Linked DNA regions of Canis lupus familiaris. The protein of the gene in region 2 purifies or fractionates together with the protein of the main gene of each other region. This does not show direct contact. Links are inferred from orthologs where the notes say so. Each region holds a gene or a part of one and is shown on either strand. Other genes may lie near its edges. The genes, in order: TOM1, CUEDC1 and SMURF2.

Evidence for each region.
Region 1: the proteins of CUEDC1 (region 2) and TOM1 purify together in Homo sapiens (co-immunoprecipitation; 3 studies listed by BioGRID and IntAct, with this or other methods). This does not show direct contact. The link is inferred for Canis lupus familiaris from reciprocal best matches to the Homo sapiens genes CUEDC1 and TOM1.
Region 3: the proteins of CUEDC1 (region 2) and SMURF2 purify together in Homo sapiens (co-immunoprecipitation; 3 studies listed by BioGRID and IntAct, with this or other methods). This does not show direct contact. The link is inferred for Canis lupus familiaris from reciprocal best matches to the Homo sapiens genes CUEDC1 and SMURF2.

What each region holds. Positions count from the first base shown.
Region 1 is NC_049231.1:29,818,420-29,822,679, reverse strand, and holds the start of TOM1 (target of Myb protein 1), read left to right. Parts: upstream 1-1,343; 5' UTR 1,344-1,450; coding exon 1,451-1,502; intron 1,503-4,260.
Region 2 is NC_049230.1:32,526,862-32,530,508, reverse strand, and holds part of CUEDC1 (CUE domain-containing protein 1), read left to right. Parts: intron 1-501; coding exon 502-573; intron 574-1,378; coding exon 1,379-1,472; intron 1,473-2,173; coding exon 2,174-2,232; intron 2,233-3,033; coding exon 3,034-3,101; 3' UTR 3,102-3,104; intron 3,105-3,647.
Region 3 is NC_049230.1:14,572,462-14,576,108, reverse strand, and holds part of SMURF2 (E3 ubiquitin-protein ligase SMURF2), read right to left. Parts: intron 2,950-3,647; coding exon 2,874-2,949; intron 2,622-2,873; coding exon 2,522-2,621; 3' UTR 1-2,521. UniProt on the Homo sapiens protein: E3 ubiquitin-protein ligase which accepts ubiquitin from an E2 ubiquitin-conjugating enzyme in the form of a thioester and then directly transfers the ubiquitin to targeted substrates.

The DNA.
Region 1 (4,260 bases), on a different chromosome or scaffold from region 2:
TCATATATTAGTCACTGTGCTAGACAATGATGGTGAGTCAAGTAGACATAGTATCCCAGCCCTCACGGAGTAGCTAGCCTGGTGAGGAGAAGGGCATTTATGAATAGGTCTCATGAGCACTGTTGAAGCACAGGAGTACATGACTTCCATAAAGTTCTTATATTGTACAGTAAAGGTATCAGCCCCTGTATGCTCAAACAGGTCAACATAAGGAAGTGATTAACTTCTAGCTTAGGTTCTCCATCATCCTATATTTGTACAATTCCTAGCCTTTCCAATTGGGGACACCTGGGTGATTCAATGGTTGAGCATCTGCCTTCAGCTCAGGGTGTGATCCTGGGGTCCTGGGGTCTGTCTCCCCACCGTGAGCCTGCCTCTCCTGCCTATGTCTCTGATAAATAAATAAATAAAATCTTTTATTTTTTTTAAATCACATACTGTGGTGGATTAAGTACTAAAGCTCCCAGCAGTAGCCCAGACTACCAAAGCAGTGATTATTGTATCTAGACTGCATATGACCAAAAGAATAAAGCATAATAGGTCCGACCTGATCTAATGTGTGGGTGAAATATCTAAAACATGGTACACAGGAAGGTTGGAAGATAGCAGAATCCTAGAACTAGGAAAGGCCTTTGAGATTCTTAAAGTCCGTAACTTGGGGTCCACTGACTTCTGGGACCCTAGGAAGTCCCTGACGTTAAATTGTCTCTCTGCCCTTTTTTCTTCAGAAAGGTTGATGGTTTTCTTCAAGTCCTCAAAGGAGCCTATGACCTAAAAAAAAAAAAGAGAGAAGAAGAAAGTCCTTGATCTAGTTCCAGCATCCGGAAAAAATGGAAGCTCGCTGTGTGAATCACAGCCGAGGTGGGTCCCAGGCCCACCCGTGACCACCTCCGGGTGCCTCTGCTACTCCGGGCTCCAGCCCGCTCCTCGCTGCGGGTCACTGGGCTGGTTCTGTGTCCAGGGAGGAAGCGCTCTGTCGGGGCTGGGAGACGACGAGCCAGAGATGCTGTCGCCGCCGGCGGTGGGGGCGTGGCCTAGCGACGTCACCGGCGTGAAACCGGGTCTGAGCTTGCCCTGTGACCCTACCCCAGGCACTTCCCGGCTCCGAGACCCTGTTCCGCTGAAGCTCGCGGTGCTGGGCCACGCCCCTGAATAAGGCCTGGGGCGGGGCTTGGAGAGGCCACGCCCCTGGCCCGCCCAGCCCCACGTCGTGCGTGACGTCCGCAGACGCCGAGCGAGTTGCCGTGAGGTCATCGCCCTCCGCCCGGCTCGAGGGGCGAGGCCTGTGGCCTTCACGTCAGGGGCGGGGCCTGTGGCCACGCTCGCCTCCCTACGCCCCGCCTCCACAGGCGCCTCCTCGCGGGCCGTCCGGCGCGTCACGTGACGGGTCGGCAGCGCGGCGGTTGCCGTCAGCTGATTCCCCCGGTTGGCGGCTGAGGCGCCCGCAGCGATGGACTTTCTCCTGGGAAACCCGTTCAGCTCTCCGGTGGGCCAGCGCATCGGTGAGTCCCCGGAGCGCCGCCTCGCCCCGCCGCAGGGCCCCGCACCCAGCCTCGGTCCCCGGGGGGCCCCGGGGCGCCTCCAGGTCCCAAGCCACCCTCTGGAGGGAGGCTGGGAGAACTAGGCTGGCGTGTCTCTCCCCGACCTGGCCCCGCCCAGCCTCCCGCCCACCTTGATTGACAAAAGCCGCGCTCCACTAGGAAGCCTCGCCTTGTGGTGGATGCCTAGGCTAGCCAATAGCAAAAGAAAGGGGGCGGGTCCTGGTGGCCGCGGCTCAGCCAATGCGTGGCTGCTGGGGTCCCGAATCCGGGGAGAAAGTTTCGGGGGCTGAAGGGGCAGCGTGGTTTACGGCCCTCGGGCCACTGGCCCGTCTCCCTCGTCCCTTCCGCAGCCCGGGTCCGGCCGCCGGGGCCTGGCCGTCTCCCTCTTGGCTCGCCAGGCTCTCGGGACACAGGTACCGGAGAGGGGCTAGAAGCCCATTCGCCCAGGATCCGGAGACGCGCTTGGCGTCGGGGCCGGCGACTTGCGGGGACCAGGCCCGGCAGCCCTGCTGCGCGCGGCCCCCGGCCGGACCCTGGCGATCCCGCCAGACCAGCAGCAGCCGGCGGCACGGTCGCAGGCTCCCGAGCTGGAAGCGACCTCAGGAACCTCCTGATTCCGCCTCCTTCGTTTCTCGTAGGCGGGTGGGCCAGGCACTCTGGCCGGAGGCACAGGCTCACTCCGAGCCCCGGCCTCCCGACTCTTCCTGCCCTCTGTTGACATCGCCGCCTCTGTTTCCTCCTCACCTATAATTAGGGGCATATTAATAGCCCCTGCTTCCGTGGGGTTGTTGTGAAGCTTCAGCTCCTTAATAATTGTAAAGTACTGGGAACCGTGCCTGGCACATGGCCCTGCTAATATAAAACAAAGTGATAATATATATTTATCGTCATTGTTAGGGAGATGCCAGGAAGTGAGGGTCAGGAATCCCTGGAAATAGCTGTGTGGAGAGTCTCCTAGGTGCTCCTTGCTGTGCATCAGCACGGGGAGGAACCACAGGCCCTGGGCCACACCGCTAACACTTCCCCTTTGGGACAGCCTGGATGTGCCTCCCCGCATTAGGAAACTGTGATATTCTCCCTTCGACCTCTTGATGGCCCTTAGCGTTCAGTCTAGACTGGGAAAATTGGACCTTTTAGACATTTTTTCCTTTCTTATGGTCTTGGAAGCCAAACTTCACTTAACTGTCAACCCAGCTCTGCGATGTCATCGGCACCAAGGCTGTCAGTGGCTCTTGTGAGGTTTTGTAATCAGACTTCTCCAAGAGGAGAGTAGAAGTCCAGGATTAATTTGCGAACCAGAGCGCTCCTGGACCAGGGAGGTGAAGCTGCCCTCTGAGGAACACCCTCCCCACTGCCTGCCACACACACACCCTGCAATGAGTCATTGTTTTGGAGCTGAAAAGAGAAAGTGGCTCTCCCCTCATCTTTATTTCTCCAACAACAGATACCACTGCTCTCATCACATGCCAAGTTTGAGACTTCCTACTTTAAAACAAAAAATTCTGACCTTCAAAGTCAGCCACGTTTGCTGAACCTTTGTAGAAAAGCTCACCTGGGCTCTGGGCTTTAGCTAGTCAAAAAAAAACAGCTTCTCTTCCTATCCTGAGGGTTGCCTGTCTGTGGCAAGAAATACTCTGTCCAAAGAGAATACTACTAAGTCATAATACTTCAGAGCCCAAACCAAATTTTACTCCTGGAAGGATCCTTACCCTGGGGGTCTTCTAACTCAGGGTTCTCATCGGAATTCCCTGGAAGACTTGTTAAAGACAGATGGCTGACTGGGCCCCACCCCAAGAGTTTCTGACTCTGTAGGTCTGGAGTTTGCCCAAGAATATGCATTACTGACAAATTCCCAGGTGATGCTAATGCCACTGGATTGGAAACCACATGTTGAAAACTTCCATTCTGGCCCATCCCCTTCATTTTACACAGGAGAAGACAGAGGCTGGAGAAAAGGTGGAGACTCTGACTCACCCAGGCCCCCAGTGAATTGGTAGTGAAGTGTGATGAACTCCCCAGAACCAATGAAATTTGAACCAAAGCTGAAGAGGCTCTCAAAGTAGAATTAAATGAAGAATAGCTGCCATTTGAGCAAATGCCTTCAGTATTCCATGTTTTCTCTTTTAGAGAAAGAGATTGCCTGTGATTATTGACGACCTAGTAGTTCTGTAAACTATAGTAGTAAAATAATCTCAAGGTTGCCAACTCCACCCCCCTATTGTGAGTAGGGCCCTGTAGAATTGGCATCCCTGAGCACAGCGAGTTCCAGTGGTACTTATCAGGGATGTCACTCAACTCATAAAGCTCTCATCCACCCTCATACCCAAGCACTTTCGTGGAATGCCTGCTCCAGTGTGCATCCTTCAAAGCTCAGACATTGTCACCTCCTCCCTGAGGCCTTCCCTGACCCCCTTCCTGACCCCTTCAGATCCAGCTGTTGCTTTCATGCTCTTCCATCATCCCCATTCCTCAGGCTTCTTCATTCTCTGCCTTTGGGCTCTGAACCTCTATTTCCTCCTGGGTGGAATGGTGGCTACAAGAGCATCTGCCTCTCCGGGTTGGGTGGTAGTGAGAGTGAAGCGAGGACCACCCCCCCACCCCGCCCCGCCCCGGGAGTGCCTGGCACATTGTGAGTGAATTAGCTCTTGCTGTCCTCATCATTGTTTCTATTATTTCCACCATCGCACACTAATGGAGCCCTGTCCCATTCTGTTAGTAG
Region 2 (3,647 bases):
ATGAGAGCCGTACACACACAGAGAGAGAAGCAGAGGCACGGGCAGAGGGAGAAGCAGGCTCCATGCAGGGAGCCTGACGTGGGACTCGATCCCGGAGCCCCAGGGTCACACCCCAGGGCTGAAGGCTAAACCGCTGCGCCACCGGGGCTGCCCAAGATTTATTTATTCATTCATGAGAGACACAGAGAGAGGCAGAGACACGGGCAGAGGGAGAAGCAGGCTCCCTGTGGGGAGCCTGATGTGGGACTAGATCCCAGGACCCCAGGATCACGACCTGAGCCAAAGGCAGACACTCAAACACTAAACCACCCAGGCGCCCCAAAGCTCTTTCTTGGTTAGGGAAGAAGCCTGATCTTTGCCCCATTCCTCAAAAGGAAAAGTTAGGCTGAACCCCTGTCCTGTGGTGACGGCCCTGACATGTTGCCCCCCTTCTCCCCGGAGGGCCTTTGGGCAGCCCCTCTCCCTCTCCAGCCTGCCCTCAGAAGTGTCTTCCCCTTTCAGGAACCAGTGATGCCAATCCTGCTGTGTCTGAAGATGCCTTATTCAGGGACAAGTTGAAACATATGGGGAAATGTGAGTCCAGCCTATGCCCTTTCCTCATCTCTTCTAAGACAGGCCTTGTGGCCTCATAGGAGGGAGGTAGCCACCAGGAGCTTTTTAACGTAGCTGACTCTTGGTGAACCAAAGTGACATTTTAATCGCACAGGCTGGCTCCCTCAGCCTTCCTGCCTGTCTTCTCTCTGCAGCTGAGTCTGGCTACAAATTAAGTTTTAAATCCTCTTGAGCCAGCTGTCTGCCGAAAAATAATAATGTGCTGCACCCACCCCACTCCCACCCCAGTTTTAGAGTTCACAGCCTTTGGTGGCTTGAAGGCACTTGGCCAGGCCTGATGAGTGGGGAGGCCCGTGCTAGGCCCCCTTTCTGTGGGCAGGAGGCCCGAGGGGTTGGTGACCTCTCCCACAAAGTCCTGCCAACCAGGACACACCTACCACCACCCCCACCCCTCCTCCCCCCACACACAAGTGTGAATGAGGCTGCCATCCTTCCAGGCTCCATTTCAGGGAAAATCTCGGATTAGTCATGGAAATCCCAGAACCAACTCTGGAGGTGGTGAAGGGGGGCGGGGGAGGCGGCGGGAAAGACAGCCAAGAGGCTCGCTCGCCCGCTCGCTGTCTCTCGCAGCTGGGGCAGGAATACCCGGATCTCGGCTGCCTGCCTCGGTGGCCTCTGCTGCCCCTGCAGGGCTAGCCTGCTATGGCAGCCTCCCCGCTGCCACCCACCCCTCCCTTGCCACCGCATTCCTGTGGCCCGCCGCCTGCTCCCACCCCGGGGGCGGCCCTGCGGCTGCGGCTGCGGCTCACGGGTCTCTCTGCCCCAGCCACCCGGAGGAAGTTGTTCGAGCTGGCCAGGGCCTTCTCCGAGAAGACCAGGATGAGGAAGTCAAAGAGGAAACACTTGTCCAAGCACCAGTCGTATCCTTTCTGGCCTGGCTCGGGGGCGCTGAGGGCGCTGACCCCCTGGCCCAGCTCGAGGCTGTGCCCTCCCCTCCCCAGGGCTGCGGCTGCCCCTGGCCTGGAGCACCATGACCAGGCTGGGAGGAGGCCAGCATCTCCACTTCCTTCCGTGGGCTCCTCCCTGCCCAGTTGTCCCACGACATCTCCACTTTCTCATTGGGCTAATCTGCTCTTGAGAGAAAACGTGGTTCTTCCACTGAGCTCAGCAAACCCTTCCCTAATATCTTGAGTTGAGTTGATGCATAGATCTTGCTGCCTTCCCATTTCAAGCACATTGGGCCCTGCCTTCTCACTTTCAGGGCCTTGAGTAAAAATAAGGTTCTGCACGTTTTCACACAGACTCCCCACCGATGCTTGTCAAATAGGGCCCAGAATATTTTAAGCTGAACCCCAAAGGGGAATAGGGAGGAAGTCCCTTCTCCATCCCCAGTGATGGGAGCTGGGTGAGAAAGTCAGGGCCTGGCTGCTCACCAGACCCCAAGGAAAGGAGGCTTTGGGGAGCACTGGGGGCTAAGGCTGGTACTGTAGAAGAGTACTGGCTGGTACTGTCCTGAGCTTGGAGTGGGTGGTGGAGGGCCAGAGACAGGGAGTGGTAGACCTAGGAGGACGATGGCAGTGCCCACCCATCTCTGAGACAGTTTTCCTGAATGGCCCGGCAGGCTGGGAGCTGCAGTGTCAACGGCTAATCTTCTGGACGACATGGAGGGCCACACTTGTGGTGAGGCTAGGAGGGCAGGGGAGCATGAGCTGTAAATCGCTTGTGACTGGTGACTCTCCAAGAGGAGGGTCTGGGTATTTTGTGGGTGGACCCAACCTGGGGGACACATCGTGGGTAGGTGGGCAAGTGACCTGAAGAAATGGGTCCTCCTACTTGGTTTATATTGCCTCTCCCTTCCTTCCACACCCAGAAGGGGGCCCCAGCCGCACCTCCACCTAGATCTCTGCCTGGAGCACAAAGTGTCAGGTGCTGTTTCTGGGGACTCTTCTCTGAGGTGGGAGGGGGCAGACAGACCTACCCACGTGGAGAGGCCTCACCTCAAGAACCAAGTGCTGTGCAGTTTCAGTCTCTGTGCCCAAAGAACTTTCAGCGTTCATCTAGTCCCTCCCAAAGGCCATGTGGGTTGGGAGACACTGCCTTAGACCCTAGCAGGCCCAGAGCTGAACCTCATCCTCATGCCTCAGAGGCCCTTTGGTGGTCAGGAGACATCCAGAAACAAGGACTAGGAGGGTCTTAGAGGCCATATGGAGGGTATAGCTCCCCCACCCATTCTACAGATGAGGAAGCTGAGGAAAGAACTTGTCCAGGAGCTCAGTGATGGAACCAGGCCAGCATCCAGTTGTCCTAACCCCACACTCTGCTCCGGTGCCTCTGGGCACACCCACACATCCCTGCCCCACTGCAGGATCAGGAGGTGCCCCAGCAAACAAGGGGGATGGAGAGAATTGGGTCAGCCTGGGGGACCTGCCTGAGTGAGGTCCTGCGTGGTGGAGGATGAGGCAACTTCCCTCTGCTTTTCAGATGAAGACTTCCGTGGAAGGAGGCAGGAGGTGCCCAAGGCGGAGGAAGCCCTAAGGGAAGGACAGTAAGAGGTAAGGCCTAGAGCTACAGCTGACCAGAGACTGCCCGAGGCTGGGCCTGCTGTGCCCCGGACCCCAGCTGTCCTCCCAGGGATCCAGAGGCATTGGGTGCAGGCATCTAGATGGCATAGATCCTGGTTTTCTTCCCTGTTCTTGTGGCAGAGGACACAGTCTTCTGCATGGAAGCTAGTCTTTTGCGTTTCCTTTCACTTTTTGGTTATTTATTCATTTAGCAAAGTAATCACACCTGCCTGTACCAGACCCTGGGAACAGGAGGGGAAAAAGTCAGGTTTGACCTTAATAGTTTACAGCTTGTTTGAAAGACAGTCCAGGACACACACTACACAGTCAGAAGATGACTTGGGAAAAGTTGAACCGGCCTCACCAGCCCTGTGCTCACATACACATACACATACACATACACATACACATACACATACACAGCCCTGTGACTGTCCCGTTGCTGGCTTGGGGTGGGTGACATAAAGAAACAGTCTCTCTCAAGGCAGCTGTTTCTGGCTAGAGCCCTGGGCCCTCAGGCTGCTTCTCCTCTTC
Region 3 (3,647 bases), about 18 Mb from region 2:
AAGCACTCATGATGGAGAGGCACTGTATGGAAACGTGACATCACATATCTGGAATAACACAACTAGGGGCAGGGAGCAGAAAAACCCAGCTAAGAGGGATGTGTGGAAATAAATATTCACATTACACATGAGGGGCGAGTCTCAGATTCAATGACACAGTGGGGGTTTAGTTTGCTTAGCACCTGTTTGGAAGTAATCAGGTAACGTAATTTTGAAAAATGAAATCTAAATCATGTCTTTATAAATCATGTTGGTGATACCATAGACTGCTAGGGTAGATTTCTTTTAAAGCTCTATTAAGTCATCATTATAAAGTTAAAAAGGCACTCAAAAGCGATGGTACTAGCCTGCTTTACTGTACGTTATGATAGTAGCATTTACTCCTGCATCCATTGGTTAGGACTTCTCTAATGTGTTCAGCATGGACTTCGTTTTTGGAAGATTGTAACAGTAGGCACAATCACACTGCACTAGTGCTTTAATATAACATACAAGAGATGAGTCTGCAGCCGATAAGGTACTACCGTGAAAGCTGACAACTGATGGAGTTTAGAAACCTTTTCTGTACATTTCAAGATGTTCTCGAGTGCTACTAAGACACAAGGTGTCTGGGAAGGAAAAGGTCAGTGGAAGCACGTTACCACCGCACAGGACTACGACTAGCTTGCATGTAGCGGTCCAATTTGGCTGAATGAAATAAATTCAAATGCTTCGAAACTACACAAGCAGTTCTCAACTCTTTTTTTCTAAACAGCAAAATTTCTGCTTCTTTTATCCCCGCCCGCCTCCACCTCCCACCTCTGGGAAAACTTACTTGGAATTCCAATACATAAAAGAGAGGACTTGGGAGCTGCTCCTGTACAAGGGGTTGAGGGTGGGGAGTTAGAGGCTCCAACTCAAATACCAACCAGGCCCCTCCTCTCCCTCCATCCCCTTCTCTCTTAAACCACTACTTCTGAGGCACCTCAGAGGAACCCCTTGGTTCGTGAACACAGACTGAAAACCAATCCATCAGATGAAAGAACACAAAGGGCCTATTCACTTGATAATTAAGCTGCAACATTTCCAAGGAGCTATCTCATCAAAATTTGCCCTTCTTGATTCACATCTGTGTAAGAAAAAATATATATAGTGCAGATTTCTGATAGTTGGATTTTAAAAGCCACCCATGACTTCAGATTTTTTCAATCCTTTACTCCAGAATTTTGGTTACCTTCTGGATCATGCAACATGCCACACACCTTGAAAGCTCAATCTGGGTATTTCAAAATCAGACACTGATCAACACCCAGGGAACTGGGATTCCCTTACCTCCAAAACAGAATTCTTCCGTTCTAAAGTAATTTATACCATAGATTCAGAATCACTATTTCTCCAGTAATCCTACCCCCTCCTCACCCCTACCTTCATTTTGTTAGGTAAAAACAGGGGTTTTCTAAGCTGGCTGAATAAAATTTTTCCTTTGTCATAATTTTAGCTGATTAAAATATTGAGCAGCTAAACAAAGATTGTGGATGGTTTACTTGATAGAAAGCTAGACCATAATTAAAATATAAATTAGGTGCACTTGTCATAGGAGACTTTGGTTTACAGAAATAGTATATATATTAAAGATACGCTGACCCAGCAAAAGAATGAAAATCCCATCCCATCCAACAATCTGAGGACCTATAAAAATGCAGTATTTCCATTTAAGATGAAGTAAATCCCAAATACCTGATCATACTGATTCAAGATAAAAAAATTAGGATTTTTTTAAAAGTCTCTTAAAAAAAGGAGCCCCTGAATGCATCTTACTGTATCAAATAAGCTAAGTTTAGACTAAATGGTTGCATTAGGAATCTGACAACCAAAATTATGTGGCTGTATTCCAGGAAGTTCGTGCTTGAAAAATATACAAAAGACTTACTTAGGCTAGTTTGAAACATATAATGCTTTTAAAATATAATGCTTTGCTATAGAAAAATGTAATTAAACATGTAAATGGCTTAATTGTTTTTTAAAGATAATGATTCCTTTAGCCAATTGTTTACAAAGGTAGAATAATTCAAAATAATTTTATTTATTTTTCTTTTACAAAGAGCAAGTACAGGAGCTGTTCAAAATCATGTATTCAATCAAAATGAAATGTGACGTGTACCGACTGCTGAAGTTGTCTTGATGTTTGAGAGACTTGAAATCTGTGGAGCAATTTGAATAGATTACCTTTTATAAAAATAGTAGTAGTCTTTAAGTGTAGAATACTGCCTAACTCTGGAAATGTAGGAAAAGTCAGCATTCTTTAGGTTCAAGATATTAATTTTAAATAGCAGCTGAGTGTGGCCTCATGGCAAAGCATAAAGACCTCTTTTTTTTCCTTGAAAAGGAATTTCAAAATTGTCCTTTCCCCTCACAGTGTCCTAAAAATCTTTTGGGGGGGGGGGGAGGCATTTTCCTGTATTTCAGCATTCCGCGAAACTTTGCTGAAAGGAGGCTGTCGGTCGGGGTATAAATAGAGTCCTGGGTAAATCCTTGAAGTCCGTCATTCCACAGCAAACCCACATGTTTCTTCAATGGCTGTTAGCAGCTTTTCATATAACTTTTCATAGCTTTCATAGGGCGGAATGTCTATTCGATTGAAGCTGTAAATGAGCAAATCAGATTGACACAGTTCATTCAGAATAAGCAAACTGGTCTAGCAAGTGTATACTAATACAGTCACATCACATTTCATGACACACAGAAAATTAAAAGAAAAAGTTGTACTCCTCTAAAGTAGAGACTGCCACTTTCAGGCTTTCCTACCAATTTCTGCATAATCTCAAATTCAAATCGGTTTAAACCTAACACCTACGTACATGGAATGCAGGGGAAAAGCTTCAAAAACAACTTACCAAGTGTGGGCTTTCGGCAGGTTGTTAGTGCAAGCATCAATCTGGTGTATGGTGAAGAGTCGTGGGCCTGCAGCGCCTGCAAAAGAAGTCAATGTGGGTCACGTCACTGTAGGTGTGTGTGTGAGTCTCCAAAATCTCAGAATAAAACTGATACGTAAACCACAAGGCCTAAGATGGAACCACTGGTGACTCCACATAAGCTGCCAAGGGCAGGAGAAAAAGAATCTGGGTCTTGAAAAATGAAATTGACCTTGGATAAACACTGGATTCCTTAATATGCTAGCATATCAATTTGAGAAAAGGCCCAGGATTGGAATCCTTTGCCAACTTCTTCTATTAAAAAATCAATGTGCCAAATGTATGAGAAGAAAAGTAAATGGATAAATTCAAGATCAAATATATATATACACACATTCAAAAAGATGACAACCTAAATGCAAATTTAGATTTCATGCCTCAAACCTGGCCGAGAGCAAAAGATTAGCAGTCCATGGAATAAATTCCAGTTAACATAAGACACCCCATAAAAGTGTATGTAGAAATATAGCTTCACTTTACGCTTCTGGGTAGTCTGCTAACAAGTTCTCCAAGTAAGGAATTAAGCACAACTCCAAGGATGCCTTCCCTGTCTGTGGACTTCCAACACGTGTGCTGCGGGCAACGCTGTCCTGTCTGGCTGTGTAGGTCTTCAGATGTGACTGGTGGCAGCAGCCTTGCAAATGAAGAGCTTCAGAGGGAAAGGAAGCAAGTGCCACCCAGCGAAGCGCCACAATC